3 linked regions of the Arabidopsis thaliana genome follow. The protein of the gene in region 2 purifies or fractionates together with the protein of the main gene of each other region. This does not show direct contact. Each region holds a gene or a part of one and is shown on either strand. Other genes may lie near its edges.

The links.
Region 1: the proteins of SYP61 (region 2) and VTI1B purify together in Arabidopsis thaliana (affinity purification with western blotting, with the first as the bait; one study listed by BioGRID). This does not show direct contact.
Region 3: the proteins of SYP61 (region 2) and SYP42 purify together in Arabidopsis thaliana (affinity purification with western blotting, with the first as the bait; one study listed by BioGRID). This does not show direct contact.

The regions. Positions count from the first base shown.
Region 1 is NC_003070.9:9,214,152-9,218,545, forward strand, and holds VTI1B (Vesicle transport v-SNARE family protein), read left to right. Parts: upstream 1-1,618; 5' UTR 1,619-1,951; coding exon 1,952-2,048; intron 2,049-2,708; coding exon 2,709-2,767; intron 2,768-2,856; coding exon 2,857-3,045; intron 3,046-3,221; coding exon 3,222-3,392; intron 3,393-3,489; coding exon 3,490-3,642; 3' UTR 3,643-3,859; downstream 3,860-4,394. Other genes in the region: AT1G26665 (Mediator complex, subunit Med10), read left to right, coding at 359-582, 672-752, 840-942, 1,026-1,115, 1,204-1,275. UniProt on the Arabidopsis thaliana protein: Together with either SYP41 or SYP61, required for membrane fusion; the fusion of phospholipid vesicles containing SYP41 or SYP61 and VTI12 is triggered by YKT61 and YKT62.
Region 2 is NC_003070.9:10,014,202-10,018,576, forward strand, and holds SYP61 (syntaxin of plants 61), read left to right. Parts: upstream 1-1,654; 5' UTR 1,655-1,824; intron 1,825-2,205; 5' UTR 2,206-2,231; coding exon 2,232-2,285; intron 2,286-2,365; coding exon 2,366-2,479; intron 2,480-2,549; exon of another isoform or gene 2,550-2,634; coding exon of another isoform or gene 2,635-2,667; coding exon 2,668-2,781; intron 2,782-2,877; coding exon 2,878-3,065; intron 3,066-3,210; coding exon 3,211-3,301; intron 3,302-3,386; coding exon 3,387-3,452; intron 3,453-3,530; coding exon 3,531-3,641; 3' UTR 3,642-3,846; downstream 3,847-4,375. UniProt on the Arabidopsis thaliana protein: Vesicle trafficking protein that functions in the secretory pathway; the fusion of phospholipid vesicles containing SYP61 and VTI12 is triggered by YKT61 and YKT62. Together with VTI12, required for membrane fusion.
Region 3 is NC_003075.7:969,459-974,237, reverse strand, and holds SYP42 (syntaxin of plants 42), read left to right. Parts: upstream 1-1,895; 5' UTR 1,896-2,045; coding exon 2,046-2,236; intron 2,237-2,406; coding exon 2,407-2,683; intron 2,684-2,996; coding exon 2,997-3,086; intron 3,087-3,194; coding exon 3,195-3,275; intron 3,276-3,522; coding exon 3,523-3,600; intron 3,601-3,684; coding exon 3,685-3,750; intron 3,751-3,857; coding exon 3,858-3,938; intron 3,939-4,031; coding exon 4,032-4,139; 3' UTR 4,140-4,244; downstream 4,245-4,779. Other genes in the region: AT4G02200 (Drought-responsive family protein), read right to left, coding at 35-152, 248-480, 631-708, 938-979, 1,041-1,174, 1,381-1,462. UniProt on the Arabidopsis thaliana protein: Contributes to the regulation of secretory and vacuolar transport pathways in the post-Golgi network, and to the maintenance of the Golgi apparatus and trans-Golgi network (TGN) morphologies.

The DNA of each region.
Region 1 (4,394 bases), 800 kb from region 2:
CCGCTTCCCTGTCTTCGTCGGTCCCTTTTCGGTTTTCACGGTAAGGCTCGGAGGAAAACCTAATTCGTCCGGAGAATCTCCACCTCACTCTCGCCAAACGCATCTCTGTTGTAGGTAAGTCACGGATCTTCATTCTACGCTAATTGTTATTGTTATCGTTATTCTTGATCTGGGCGTTTTTGTGGAATTTGCATCTAAAATTAGAAATTTGGATACCAAAATCCACTCCAATTGAATAAGGTTTCTGAAGAATTTTCGTTTGATTTTGAGATCGAAAATTGCGTTTTCTCGTTTTTGTTTTGTTATCGCTAACGCATCAGGTCATATATCTCAAGTTTATATTTTGTGGCAGCTTGTGATGGATCCAACACAGAACACAAGTGCAGGGATTGGTGGGAGCAATGGTACAATCAGATATCAAACCAATGATGGGACTTCAACTGTGACCGTTGCTGATGATTCAAAGGAGAATCTTTCCCAAGTCATAAACTCTATTGAGAAAACTTTAGGAGTCCTTCATCAGTTACACCTTACCGTCACTTCTTTCACACCCGCGTCTCAACTCCATCTCCTCCAGCGCCTGTAAGTAACTCCTCTACTCATCTGTGTTTATTGTTTTGGGTATTGTAACTATTGTTTGAATGAATATGTGTGTGTGTGTGTATTTGCAGTAACTCTCTTGTGATGGAGCTAGATAACATGACTAAGTTGTCTGAGAAATGCAACATTCAAATCCCCATGGAGGTTCTTAAGTGAGAAAACAAGTCCTTTTTGTTTTTAGTATGCACTTTGAAGATAGATACTTTTACTTGCTTACTTATGTTTGCGTTTTCGTATAGCTTGATTGATGATGGGAAGAACCCGGATGAGTTTACGAAAGATGTTCTTAATAGCTGCATAGCTAGAAATCAAGTTACTAAGGGCAAGACTGATGCTTTTAAGGTGACTCCTTTTCTTCTGATTCTTAATTTGTGTATGATTCTTAAGGTTACTGAGTCTCTTAATCAACATTTTGTTATAAATAGGATTTGAGAAAACATATTCTGGAGGAGCTTGAACAGAATTTCCCTGATGAAGTCGATATGTATAGAGAAATCCGTGCTAGTTCTGCTGCTGTAAGTTGTTAACTTCGACTAGTATTGTACATCTTCATTAATATATTATAGTAAGTCAAGGGGATTAAACAGTTTTGGTCATATTCAGGAAGCGAAACGGTTGGCGCAATCGCAAAGTGTGTTACCAAATGGGGATGCAAAGGTCAAGAATGAGCTATAAGAGCCCAAAGGATCCTTTTTATGTTTACCTTGTACTCTTGTAGAATATAATGACTGAGTCGATGAATGTGATGTAACACGAACAATCCCAAGTGGAATTTCTAATAATATCTGTTGGTTCTCTTCACCTGGCTAATATAGTTTGAGAATCTCTGCTTGTTCCCCCCATTTTTACTCGAGTGGACTATCTTACTCTTAGCCTCTGAGATCTCTTTGATTTCATGAGACTATCAAAGAATCCCACATAGTTACGCAAAACAGATTCGACTTCTATCAATGGATTTGTCTATTTCCTGGACGAGTAATCTTGGTTCTGCATAAAATGTACACTATTTCCGAGAGCTGAAAAAGTGAGAAAAGACACTTAGATTTCAATCTTAATTAACGGTTTGATTCGGTTTGGTTTGTCTCACCTACATTTGCATCGATTGCAGCATGGGGGACTTAATACGCAGTGGCTGACACGTGTCAATATAAAACGCACCGCTTTGTTTGATTGTTCCTCCTTGTCCCCGAGCAGAGAAATACAAAGGAAGAAGAAGAAGAGTTGTTTGATTATCTTTAAGCAAAGAGGAAACTGTTTTGCTTCTAGATCCGATCCAATCCAATCAAACAAAGGATCCGATTGATCAGAAAAAATCCACCAAATTTCTCAAGATCGAAACATATAATTGAAGATGAGCGACGTATTTGAAGGGTACGAGCGTCAATACTGCGAGCTCTCAACCAATCTCTCTAGAAAATGTCACTCTGCATCGGTTCTCTCCAACGGAGGTAAAATCCAGACGCTCCCGATTTCGGATCTTGAACGCGAGATCTTCGAATTTACCTGATTTTAGAAATTCGAATCTTCGAATTTGGGGTTATTGGAGCTTTTGAGCTGTGACAAGTAGCTGGTGGACTAGTGTTCTTTACTAATCGTCCTGACTTGTTTAGGATCTGACGAAGTTTTGTAACATTTAGGAATGTTGAGACATAGGATCTGTTTCTCATTGCTTGGATTAGAAGACGATAACCTAGTTAGGTCTAGATAGTTATGTAGTTGCATAGATTTATTAACTTGTTTCTCAATCTATTTCATCTAATTTTGTCCGAATTTGGGGGTATTTGTAAAGTAGAGGTGCATGAGTGTTTACTAATCGTTTTAGCTTGTTTACGATCTGACGAGTTCTGTAGTATCTGGGAATGTAATTTACTTGGATTGGTCAAGTAGTTTTGTGAAGAAATTAAGACTGAAGATAAGATCATAAGAACCTAGTTATGTAGCTGCAGAGGTTTATTGAGTTGGTGTTTTTTTTCATTTGTTTGTCAGTCTATGGTTACCACTGTCTTTCTTGGAGTTATAGTACATAGACATGCATGGAGTTGTTACATTTTGTGGTGCCATAGAACCAGAGTAGAGGTTTGATTAGATATTGTTGTGTGCTTTTATAGAGGAGAAGAAGGGGAAGATTGCTGAGATCAAGTCTGGAATAGACGAAGCTGATGTCTTGGTATTTGCATTTAACTTGCTTTAATGTTGTTACCGTTCTGTTCTTTCTTTTTTAAAATTAATATATATGCTTCTGTGGTTTTTTTGTAGATCCGGAAAATGGATCTTGAGGCAAGAAGTTTGCAGCCGAGTGCTAAAGCTGTGTGTCTTTCTAAACTAAGAGAGTATAAATCTGATCTGAACCAATTGAAGAAGGAATTCAAACGAGTCTCTTCCGCAGATGCTAAGCCGTCTTCCCGTGAAGAGTTGATGGAATCCGGAATGGCGGATCTGCATGCAGTAAGCTTCTAACTCCTAAATAGAAACTCTTGTTTTCTCATTATCTTAGTTGTCTTAATTGACTTGCATCAGTTAGGCTTCTTTGTCCTGAGGGGACCCTCCTTTATATTCATCTTCACACAAACTTTTAGATGGCAAAGACTTTGCTGTGATTTACATTATTGTCCATGTTCCAGGTATCTGCTGATCAAAGAGGAAGATTGGCAATGTCCGTGGAGAGGCTTGACCAATCAAGTGACAGAATCAGGGAGAGTAGAAGACTAATGCTGGAGACAGAAGAGGTTGGCATCTCAATTGTCCAAGATTTGAGTCAGCAACGCCAAACCCTCCTTCATGCGCACAACAAGGTACCGTCTACAATTGCTCGGTTTGGTATCTATCAGTGCCAATGATTTGTTTGAATTAGATCATTGAGAAGCTAACTTTTCTGATTTTGAATCACAGCTTCATGGTGTGGATGACGCCATTGACAAGAGCAAGAAGGTGTTGACGGCTATGTCAAGGAGAATGACTAGGAACAAATGGATCATTACATCGGTAATCGTGGCTCTCGTTCTCGCCATCATCTTGATCATCTCATACAAGCTTTCTCATTAATATACTCAAAAAACATTATTCATCGTGATTGTGTATATATATATGATGGTTGATTTACTTTGTAATGGCCCAAGTGGTTACTTGTATTTTTAAGTACGATGTTTGTATTGAAGTGGCAACACTTTTAACATTCATAAGGTTTCCCAAGTCTTTTCTTTTTTGTCTTTTTTTCCAAAAAAGTGGTACTATTTTATATAAAGCAGATGTTTCAAAAGTTACAACTGTGGAAACTTCCACTTACATCTCAAGTCCAACCTTTGAAAACTTACAACAATGTAATTCCAAAAAGAACAAACACTCCATTGCTCAAAACATAAGGTTTTCCAAGTCTTTACATGAGCCAAAGATCTATACTTATAATGTTTTAAGAAAACTAGGACACCTGACACATCCTTGCCGGACCAATCATCTTGCCGTGATCACCAGTCGCAGGCAGGAGACCCACTGTCACGTCAGAGCATGAAACAAAGGCCTCTCCTTCTATCTCTCTATTTAAAATAACATCAAACATTCACGACACCAAAAAATACACACAAGCCAAACATAACAAGTAAAACTATCCCCGAAACAAATAGTTTTATGCAGTCCCGGCCCGTCCATAACGCAGCTAGAGCATGTGTTTCTGTCGTGAATTATGTTTTCTATGATCTCAGCCCCTGTTATGTTTTAAACCACACGTTCTGGTCTTCAAACTCGTTAACCCATTCCACCCTATAAATCCCTTCTTCGTAAGCAGGGATAGATTGACGAGT
Region 2 (4,375 bases):
CGTCACTGGATTGGAGTGGACTTAGTCATAGGACCGTGTCGTTATATCGTATCACATGTTTCACGCTGACTTTTTGGATCCCACTTTATTCTTTTAATAAATCTGCACGTTTTAATTTTGGTTCCTCTCTACTTTACATAATATTTTACTGCTTTTTTCATATCAATAAAAAATAGGAGAATTCTCAGAATTTATTACTATTATATTTGGGTTGTTTCGAAACTTTCGATAGATGGTTGTATACTTAGAAATATTCGCATGTGACGACCACATAGTGGATGCTTGCTTCTTTCGATCTCGACCATCAAAACGGAATCACCAGACTATATACAACAATTTTGGTAATCTAATACTAAAATTGTAGAAAACACAATTTTGTTTTGGGATTGCTAAATAAATACACTAGAGATGCTAGAGAGACCTAGCCTAAACTTTCGATATTTTCCGTTTTATCATTCAAGTAATTAATATAACATTTAGGTGTAAAGGTTAATAATATATATGACATTATATTCTTAGTGATCAAAAATCTAAACATAAACTTTTAGGAAAAAGACATATACTACTTTCCAAATTAATGTAACACGATCATGTCATATAGTAATGACCATGTTTGGATGAAAGTGGTAATTATGAGACGTGATTAAGTACTCTTGTTGAATCCTTCTTTTAAACCAATACTAAGAATAAGTTTGACATTATTGTCATATTATTTGTACTCGGACTTTCCGAGTAGTAGTGGAGCCTTATTAACTAATAATAATAATACGCATGACAGGAAAAAACTGAGAAGGTCATTTAGAAAGAACCATCGTCGAAGGATGGACGGTGGAAAAGTCGGTAGACGTCAGCACCAAGCCACCAACTAATTTGGTTTGTTTTAATGGAATCATGACGTCTTTCTTCTTTAAAACTCATGTCACCCATTTCTTCCTAAATTTGGACTATTATATGATTATGGGAATTGCATTTCTTTATTAAAGTCACGTGTCATCCTTTAACTTTATAAGTTCTTCAGGTTCCAAACTCCAAAGCCTTTCCAATTTTATCGTTCCACCAAATCCTGAAATGAAAGTTCAACATCCATCATGGTCCCAAAACGTTAAAAATATTTTAAAAAATAGAGTGTGGGGGATTTAAAAATTCATGACCGCTAGTAAAATATACAAATTTTCAACAAAACAAATTGCATGACCGCTTTGTTGGAGATATTATATTTACAGTTGCCTAACGTGAGAAGTTTGCATAACAAAACTAATCACAAACTCACAATATATACCATTCTTCTGTGCACCGGAAATCTATAACACTTAAAATCTTAAATGTGTAAACCCTAAAATTTTACCATACAATTTTTGAATTGAGAAAACAATTATTTGTTTTTGGTTTCTAGGATTAGTAAACAATCATTTATAGTAGCATCGGATTTTTCATGGACTATGAATCTTCTCAATAGACAGACTTAGGTCACGCTTTAACCAACAAAAACTCAGCAAGAGTGGTTTCTTTCTTCTATAACAAATGCCAAATATGCGTTTCAATATAACCATTTTCTATAACAGTTAATAATCAAAATTTTGTAACGTAGAAAATGGTCTTTATTAATACTGTCGTAGATTTGTAATAACTTATTGGGCTCTGTGGTCTCTTATTGGGCTTTATAAGATTCTCCAGTAGCCCAAAAATAAACTTTCAGCGAATCTCAAAGCCAACCGCAGGTGATGCGTTTTGCTATGTAAGAGAGACGAATCTCACGCCGGAATCTCTTTTACTTCACCGTCGTTTGTTCTCCGTCGCGTCACCTTTCGATTAATTCCTTCACAGGTAAGGAAGCTTCTTCAATTTTCCTCTTACATCAATTCTCCTTTCGCATTGATCCTTGTCGTTATCGTCTCTAAACGCAAGCTTTTTCTCCAATGTTTGTGTCGATCTTAAAGCACATAGATTGATAAAGCCGTTCCGGTTCTATTGAATAAAATTCTAACCCTAGATTAGCCAGGATTTAATCGGAATTTCTCTGGATCTAATAGTTTTGTCGAGTTTGATCATTGTGACTTAGGAACTCTAATTTTGCAATCGTAGAATTTGCGCATCTCCAGAACAATCCCTGCCAATGAGATGAAATTTCAAAATTCTGTTTCTGTAACTAACTTTGCATAAGAACTTGTTTCTATAGCTTAATCAGCTGTGTTATTTGGTGTATAGGGTAGCAAAATTTTGTTGATTTCGGGATGTCTTCAGCTCAAGATCCATTCTACATTGTTAAAGAAGAGATTCAGGATTCTGTAAGTTGTTCAGAAATTGCCAGAGATGTTTTTTTGTTTAGATTTTGAAGTACAGTGATTGATGGATGATGCTTTGTTAGATTGATAAGTTGCAATCTACATTCCACAAATGGGAGCGTATCTCTCCCGACATGGGTGATCAAGCACATGTGGCGAAGGAGCTTGTTGCTACTTGTGGAAGCATTGAGTGGCAGGTACTCGTATTTAGTCACGGTTCTATTAATCTCGTCTTTATATATAATTTAGCTGGTGTGGAATAGGATTTGTGTTTGTAAATGGATCTTGTAGGAATGTATTGGCCCTTATTTACATGATTAGAAATTCCAATTGAATATATTCGAGTCCTTTCATGGCTATTGAAGCTGTTTTTACTGATAGGAAGGTAGATGAGCTGGAAAAAGCGATTACTGTTGCAGCAAAAGATCCTTCATGGTATGGCATTGATGAAGCTGAGCTTGAAAAACGGAGGAGATGGACTAGTAATGCTAGGACACAGGTATGTTCTCTAAGTTTGTTATGAATACTGCTTTACATAGTGGCATAAATTTGTTGTTAGTTGACTTGTGCAAGACGATTACGATTTTTTTTATAGGTGCGGAATGTGAAGTCTGGTGTTTTAGCTGGAAAGGTTAGTTCTGGAGCAGGTCATGCAAGTGAAGTGCGTAGAGAACTAATGAGAATGCCAAACTCGGGTGAAGCAAGTAGATATGATCAGTATGGAGGGAGAGACGATGATGGTTTTGTACAGTCAGAATCAGATAGGCAAATGCTGTTGATAAAGTAAAGCTCTCTCTGTGTGTTCTACATTGTTTTGCAGTCTTTTCTTTGCTTCTGAGTTTATAACGATTTTAGACTGAAGATTGTAGCATAGTGTTGTTCAAAAACAGAGTAGTGCCATAACTTAACATCATTTTTTTCACTTCAGGCAACAAGACGAAGAATTGGATGAGCTTAGTAAAAGTGTACAGAGAATTGGAGGAGTGGGGCTCACTATACACGACGAACTCGTTGCACAGGTTAGTAATATGGGAAGATGATTTAACAGTAGGACGTATCAGTAGAGATCAGAAACATCAAGTTTTTGTTATTGTGTGTGTTCAGGAGAGAATAATAGATGAATTGGATACGGAGATGGACAGCACAAAGAACCGTCTTGAATTTGTTCAGGTAAACCCCTTAAAGGTCTTGTTGCTGGTTTGATTGCAGAAAGTAAAAACTGAAAGAATGAAAATGGTATTGTGACAGAAAAAAGTGGGAATGGTAATGAAGAAAGCTGGAGCAAAAGGTCAAATGATGATGATATGTTTCTTGCTCGTCTTGTTCATCATCCTATTCGTTCTTGTCTTCTTGACCTAAAGAACAGAGCCGCGGGATCTTATAGATGGGAGTTTAATGTCTTACATTATCATGTTTGTGGTGAAACAAATGGAATATTTACATAAGGTTGTCTGTTTTTTCTTCTCCTATCCAATCCCACATATAATTTTGAACTTTGGCTGTGTGATCTCTAGAGAACCTGAAATTAAATACTTTCATAGCTTGATCCCATGGCTAAGTTCCTTAAACAATACAAATCAGTCTCATCAAAAGTAAGCCGTCAAAAACTTCCCTATAGAATACACCTTTATTATGCCTTCTTTAAGTTTCCGCAATGTCTCCTTTGCTTCTTCAGTTCTGTAACGAAAAAAAAATTCCGAAAGCAGACTCCATAAGAAACATCTAAAGACAACAAAATGACTCCAAAAATAAAGAACCGGCAAAAATCTAACAATTTGTGGCAACAAACCCGGCTACTGCTCAAAAGACCACCCTTAATAGTTCATAATTGAAGGCAAATGCTTCAACTGATCGATCATCAACGAATCCAAAGGACTCACTCACTATAAGCATGATCTCCGGAAGAATCATTGCCGGATATAATTAGTTGAATAACTGATTTATTGTTGAATCTTTCTGATACTATCGTTAAACTCTTATGACAACGCTTTTTTTTTTTTTTTGTGTGCAAAATGACAACGCTTTAGATTGTAAAATGAATAATGAGTCATTGTATCATTAATAAGAAGAGATTTGGGCTGATAAGGCCCAAC
Region 3 (4,779 bases), on a different chromosome or scaffold from region 2:
TTTGCGAGAGTTTCATATACAAAGACTTATGCTCTTAGAAGTTGTAAATGTGATCAAATATGGCTGATGATATTAAACCTTGTACAAACTCTCTCTTCTTTGCCTTCTCTAGTAGCTCTGTATCTGACAAGGGAGACGGCGATTCCCAGTCTCTGAGCACACAGAAATACGAAATGTATCTTTAGACAAGGTTTAAGAAGATGAGATAAAGCAAGCAGAATCAAGAAAATGTCAAAGAATTACTTACTTTTCTGTTGAATCCCTTATTAAGCTATTGTCTTCCATGCTTGCTTCACTAGATGAATCAGGTTGTACAAGCTTGGACTTCTTTGGTGACGGCGGATTGTATATAAATGATAATAATGGGTCCAGAACACTTTTAGATGTATGATTAGTAGACAACGGCTCATCGATTAGAGACTGTAAGTATTTCCTAGTCCCTGGAGAAAATGCTGAATATGACTCATCCTTGTAAAGTCTCTGCTTTTGTTCAAGGTAAGTATTCGTCAAGGAACACAAATGTCAGATAACCGATATAAAACATACCAAGATATAGAATAAGCACAAAAAGACTTACAAGTTTTCTACTAAATGGTAACGAAAGCAAGAAGAGTAAATAAAAAAGGATACCTTGAAGACATCTCTATGCTGAGTGGTAATGTGATCAACCATATGCATCTTCACTCGTCTGCTACAAACCGGACATATCTACATCACAACCAAAGCTGAATTTGTGAGAAGTTATTACATTCATCATCACCAAAAGACTGTTTTCATTTCTCACACCAAACACTTCACAACTACAAAATGGTTCCTCATAGCATCAAGCAAATAATCCAAGTGAACTAAAATCCAAGAAGTCCCTACCAACTCTCCTTACAGAATCACAATCCTGCCTACTAAAGTAACCATTAGAGTACAACAATGAACATCACACGATAAATAGTCTAAATTTACAACTAACTGCTTCATGTAAAAACTCAAATGTATAGTTTAAAGAACAGTAACTGATTTGGGAGATGGATACGAGTTGCAATTACCCCATTGTTGGCGTCTAGTTGATGCTCCTCATCGATATGGTGACACAATTCAACTAAATCATAATCATCTGAGCAAAACGGGCATGGATAATCCACTGCCATTTCATCATCATCTTCAAACTCAATACATGAACCTAAACAAAAATTTCACCATCACAAAACTTTTATCAATTACATAACATAAAGTTTACCCATAAAGTGACAAAATTTAAACTCACTAGACCTTAAGGGCCAAAAGAATTGAAATTTGATAAAGAAATTAAAACCACCTGCATATAAAGCATAAACCCTAAAACAAAGCTAAATGCAATTGGGAAAAAGAATGGATCTTTACACTAACCCGACTGATACTTGGCAAGTTCTTCTAATCGATATTTCTTCGACGAATCAAACCCACAAATGCCCAACAAATCTTCTTCCATTTTGATTCTGAATCCACACGAACTTGAATTGAAAAATCTCAGATAATAATTAAAGGAGCATATTCTTCCTCCGTGTATTTATTAGCATCTGTCAGTACTTTGTTCAGCCTGAAAGTGCGAGGAAACACACCAAAAAGGCAAGACCTTTAAATGTGGTCTTTTTCTCTGGCGACATGAGGGAATCCATGGACACGAATCTATTGAGCTAAATCCAATGACCAAACTACCCCTAACCGGTCACTATAGCCTCTTTTACCCTGAACCACCAACGTCCCTCTGTTGACTTTTAGCCGCCACGAATCTACGGGCATTTTCGTCTTTGCGCCACCGTCTTAAAACGTGTGCTCCACACACTTATATTGACCCTATCGCGCAAGTGGACTATAAGCCCAATATATAAATGGGCCTAAAAAGGCCCAAATACTTCTCCTTCGTTGCTAAGTCTGTAACACGCGCTAATGAGAAACGATTTTGCGATTCAGATTCGTTTGCTTTTGCCGACGACAAAAGCTCCGATTTTGTTTATTTTCTCCGGGAAATTTTACTTTCGAGATTCTGTTGAGAATCAATTGATTTGGTATTGATGGCGACGAGGAATCGAACGACGGTGTACCGGAAACACAGGGATGCGTGTAAGAGCGCGCGTGCTCCATTATCTTTATCGGCGTCTGATTCGTTCGGTGGTCCGGTGATCGAAATGGTTAGCGGTTCATTTTCCCGGTCCAATCACTCCTCTTATGCTCCTTTGAATTCCTATGATCCTGGTCCATCAAGGTAATAATATAATGTGTTGTTTGATTCTGCAAAACCTGGGAAATTCTATGAACTTATATATAGAAACGAATTGTAATCATGGGATTGATTTGAGATACAGAATTAGAACCCTAAACGAATTAGGTAACAGAATGAGCAAATGATTTAAGTGTTGTTGTGAATGTTTGCAGTAGTGATGCCTTCACAATTGGTATGCCACCAGCTTGGGTTGATGATTCTGAGGAGATAACTTTTAATATACAAAAGGTGCGAGACAAAATGAATGAACTAGCAAAGGCACATTCAAAGGCTCTTATGCCTACATTTGGAGATAACAAAGGGATTCATCGTGAAGTCGAGATGCTCACTCATGAGATCACAGATTTGTTGAGGAAGTCAGAAAAGAGATTGCAGATGTTATCTACTAGAGGGCCTTCTGAAGAATCAAATCTCAGGAAAAATGTGCAGGTAGGTTGTTGGACACTTTTTCAGAATCGAGCTTGTTAACAATAAAGAATGCATGGTCATTACCTTTTCTTTTGTGCTTTTAGAGAAGAAAGTTAGGAATTTTGGGTTAAATCACTCTCATATGTTTTGACTACCTATCTAGTTGACATTATCAGTCAGCAAAATGTATGAAGTGTTTTTTTTTCCCTCTATATAATGTACTTTGGGTTATTCTATGTTTTGAGTTTGTAGCATGAGGATAAAGTTCTGTGTACATGTATAGTGGGGCTCTCCAATGGACTTGACCTACTTTTTGGCATACTGCTTTTGACAGCGTTCTCTTGCAACAGATCTTCAGAACCTTTCCATGGAGCTCCGCAGAAAACAGTCTACTTACTTAAAACGTCTGCAGCAGCAGAAAGAGGTATGTTTCCTTTATTTTCAAGAAATAAACAAAAAAAGTGTTGATTCTTGAGACATGCATGTACCGTAATATGATGTTCTTATTTGTATTTGGCTTCTCTAATCATAGGGTCAGGATGAAGTAGATTTAGAGTTTAATGTGAATGGAAAGATGTCGAGACTGGATGAAGAGGATGAACTTGGTGGGATGGTAAGTGCTTACTTGTATTGTAAAACTATATATCATTGACAAATTAATAAGGACTTAATATGGTTATCTAGCTAGAGCAATTCAGATTTTTAATCAGTTATCCTTGTCTTCCTTACATTTTTAAGAAACACTTCTTATGGTTATCATGCTAGGACGAGTCAGATTTTTTTTAATCAATCTTCAGAACCTTGTCGTCCTTACTCTGCCAATACCATAATGAGAATCGCTGGTCTTCAATAAATTGTAGGGTTTCGATGAACACCAGACAATCAAGTTGAAGGAAGGGCAACATGTCTCAGCGGAAAGGGAACGAGAGATACAACAGGTAATGGAAGTTGTTACTCGACCATATTTAAGAAGCTGCGTGCTTCACATTTTCGATGGCGATTAACTTCAGAGTTCTGTCTAGGTTCTGGGTTCCGTGAATGACCTTGCACAGATAATGAAAGACTTATCAGCCCTTGTGATTGACCAGGTGCCTAGCTTAGTCATTAAAAGGCTTATGAATTACATAACTGGCTAGATACAAAGTTTTTGCTGGCTTCTCAACAATTAGTTTTCTTATATTCTTGTATCAATTAGGGCACGATTGTTGATCGGATAGACTACAATGTCCAAAACGTTTCTACATCGGTCGAGGAAGGCTATAAACAACTACAAAAGGTTTGATTCTTTACCCAAAACTCATAAGATTTTGTGAGTACTACAGATTTTTCACCGTATGGAACTCACAAAGACATTTCAATTTTTAAATAGGCGGAGAGAACACAAAGAGAAGGAGCAATGGTGAAATGTGCAACTATACTCCTTGTACTCTGTTTGATCATGATTGTTCTTTTAATTCTTAAGAATATTTTGTTTTAGTCATATGCCAACAATTTAGAATGAAAAACAGCTTGTCTTGTTTGTAACAAACAGTAACCCTCTCTTTTTTCTAGTTGAATTCTCTTTTCCAATCGTTTTACCAAATCTGTAGAAGTATTTTGTGTAAACCGTAAATGGTTAAAATCACTATAGTTAAGAAATAAACTGACACTAAACTACCTAGTGGGAAAATGTGATAATCACTACAAGAATCACTAGTCCTCCAAATTCAATAACACATGAAGGAAATCAAGTAATCAACTCATAATGAAAAATTGAAAATGATCTTTTTGTGCAAGGGAGAAAAAAATAAAACAAAAACGAATGCGTTGGCTTCACACACTTTAGATTAGCAAACCTAGACATATAAACTCATAGAGAAACTCGTGACAAGTTGTTTTGAGGCTCATGTTAAACAAAATTTTGTGACACTCGTGCAAGACGATGATCGTCCTCTTGAACTAGAACAATGAGCCGAGAGTACTCCTCTCAGTGCTATGCAAACACAAGCTCTTTGGGTAACTAGGGTTACCTCTTTTTGTTTTTTTATTGATTTTCTTAAAACAAAAGACTGAAGAACAAATACTCGATACAACTCTATTTATACTCAAAGACTCGATTCCTCCTTGGACCAGGATTC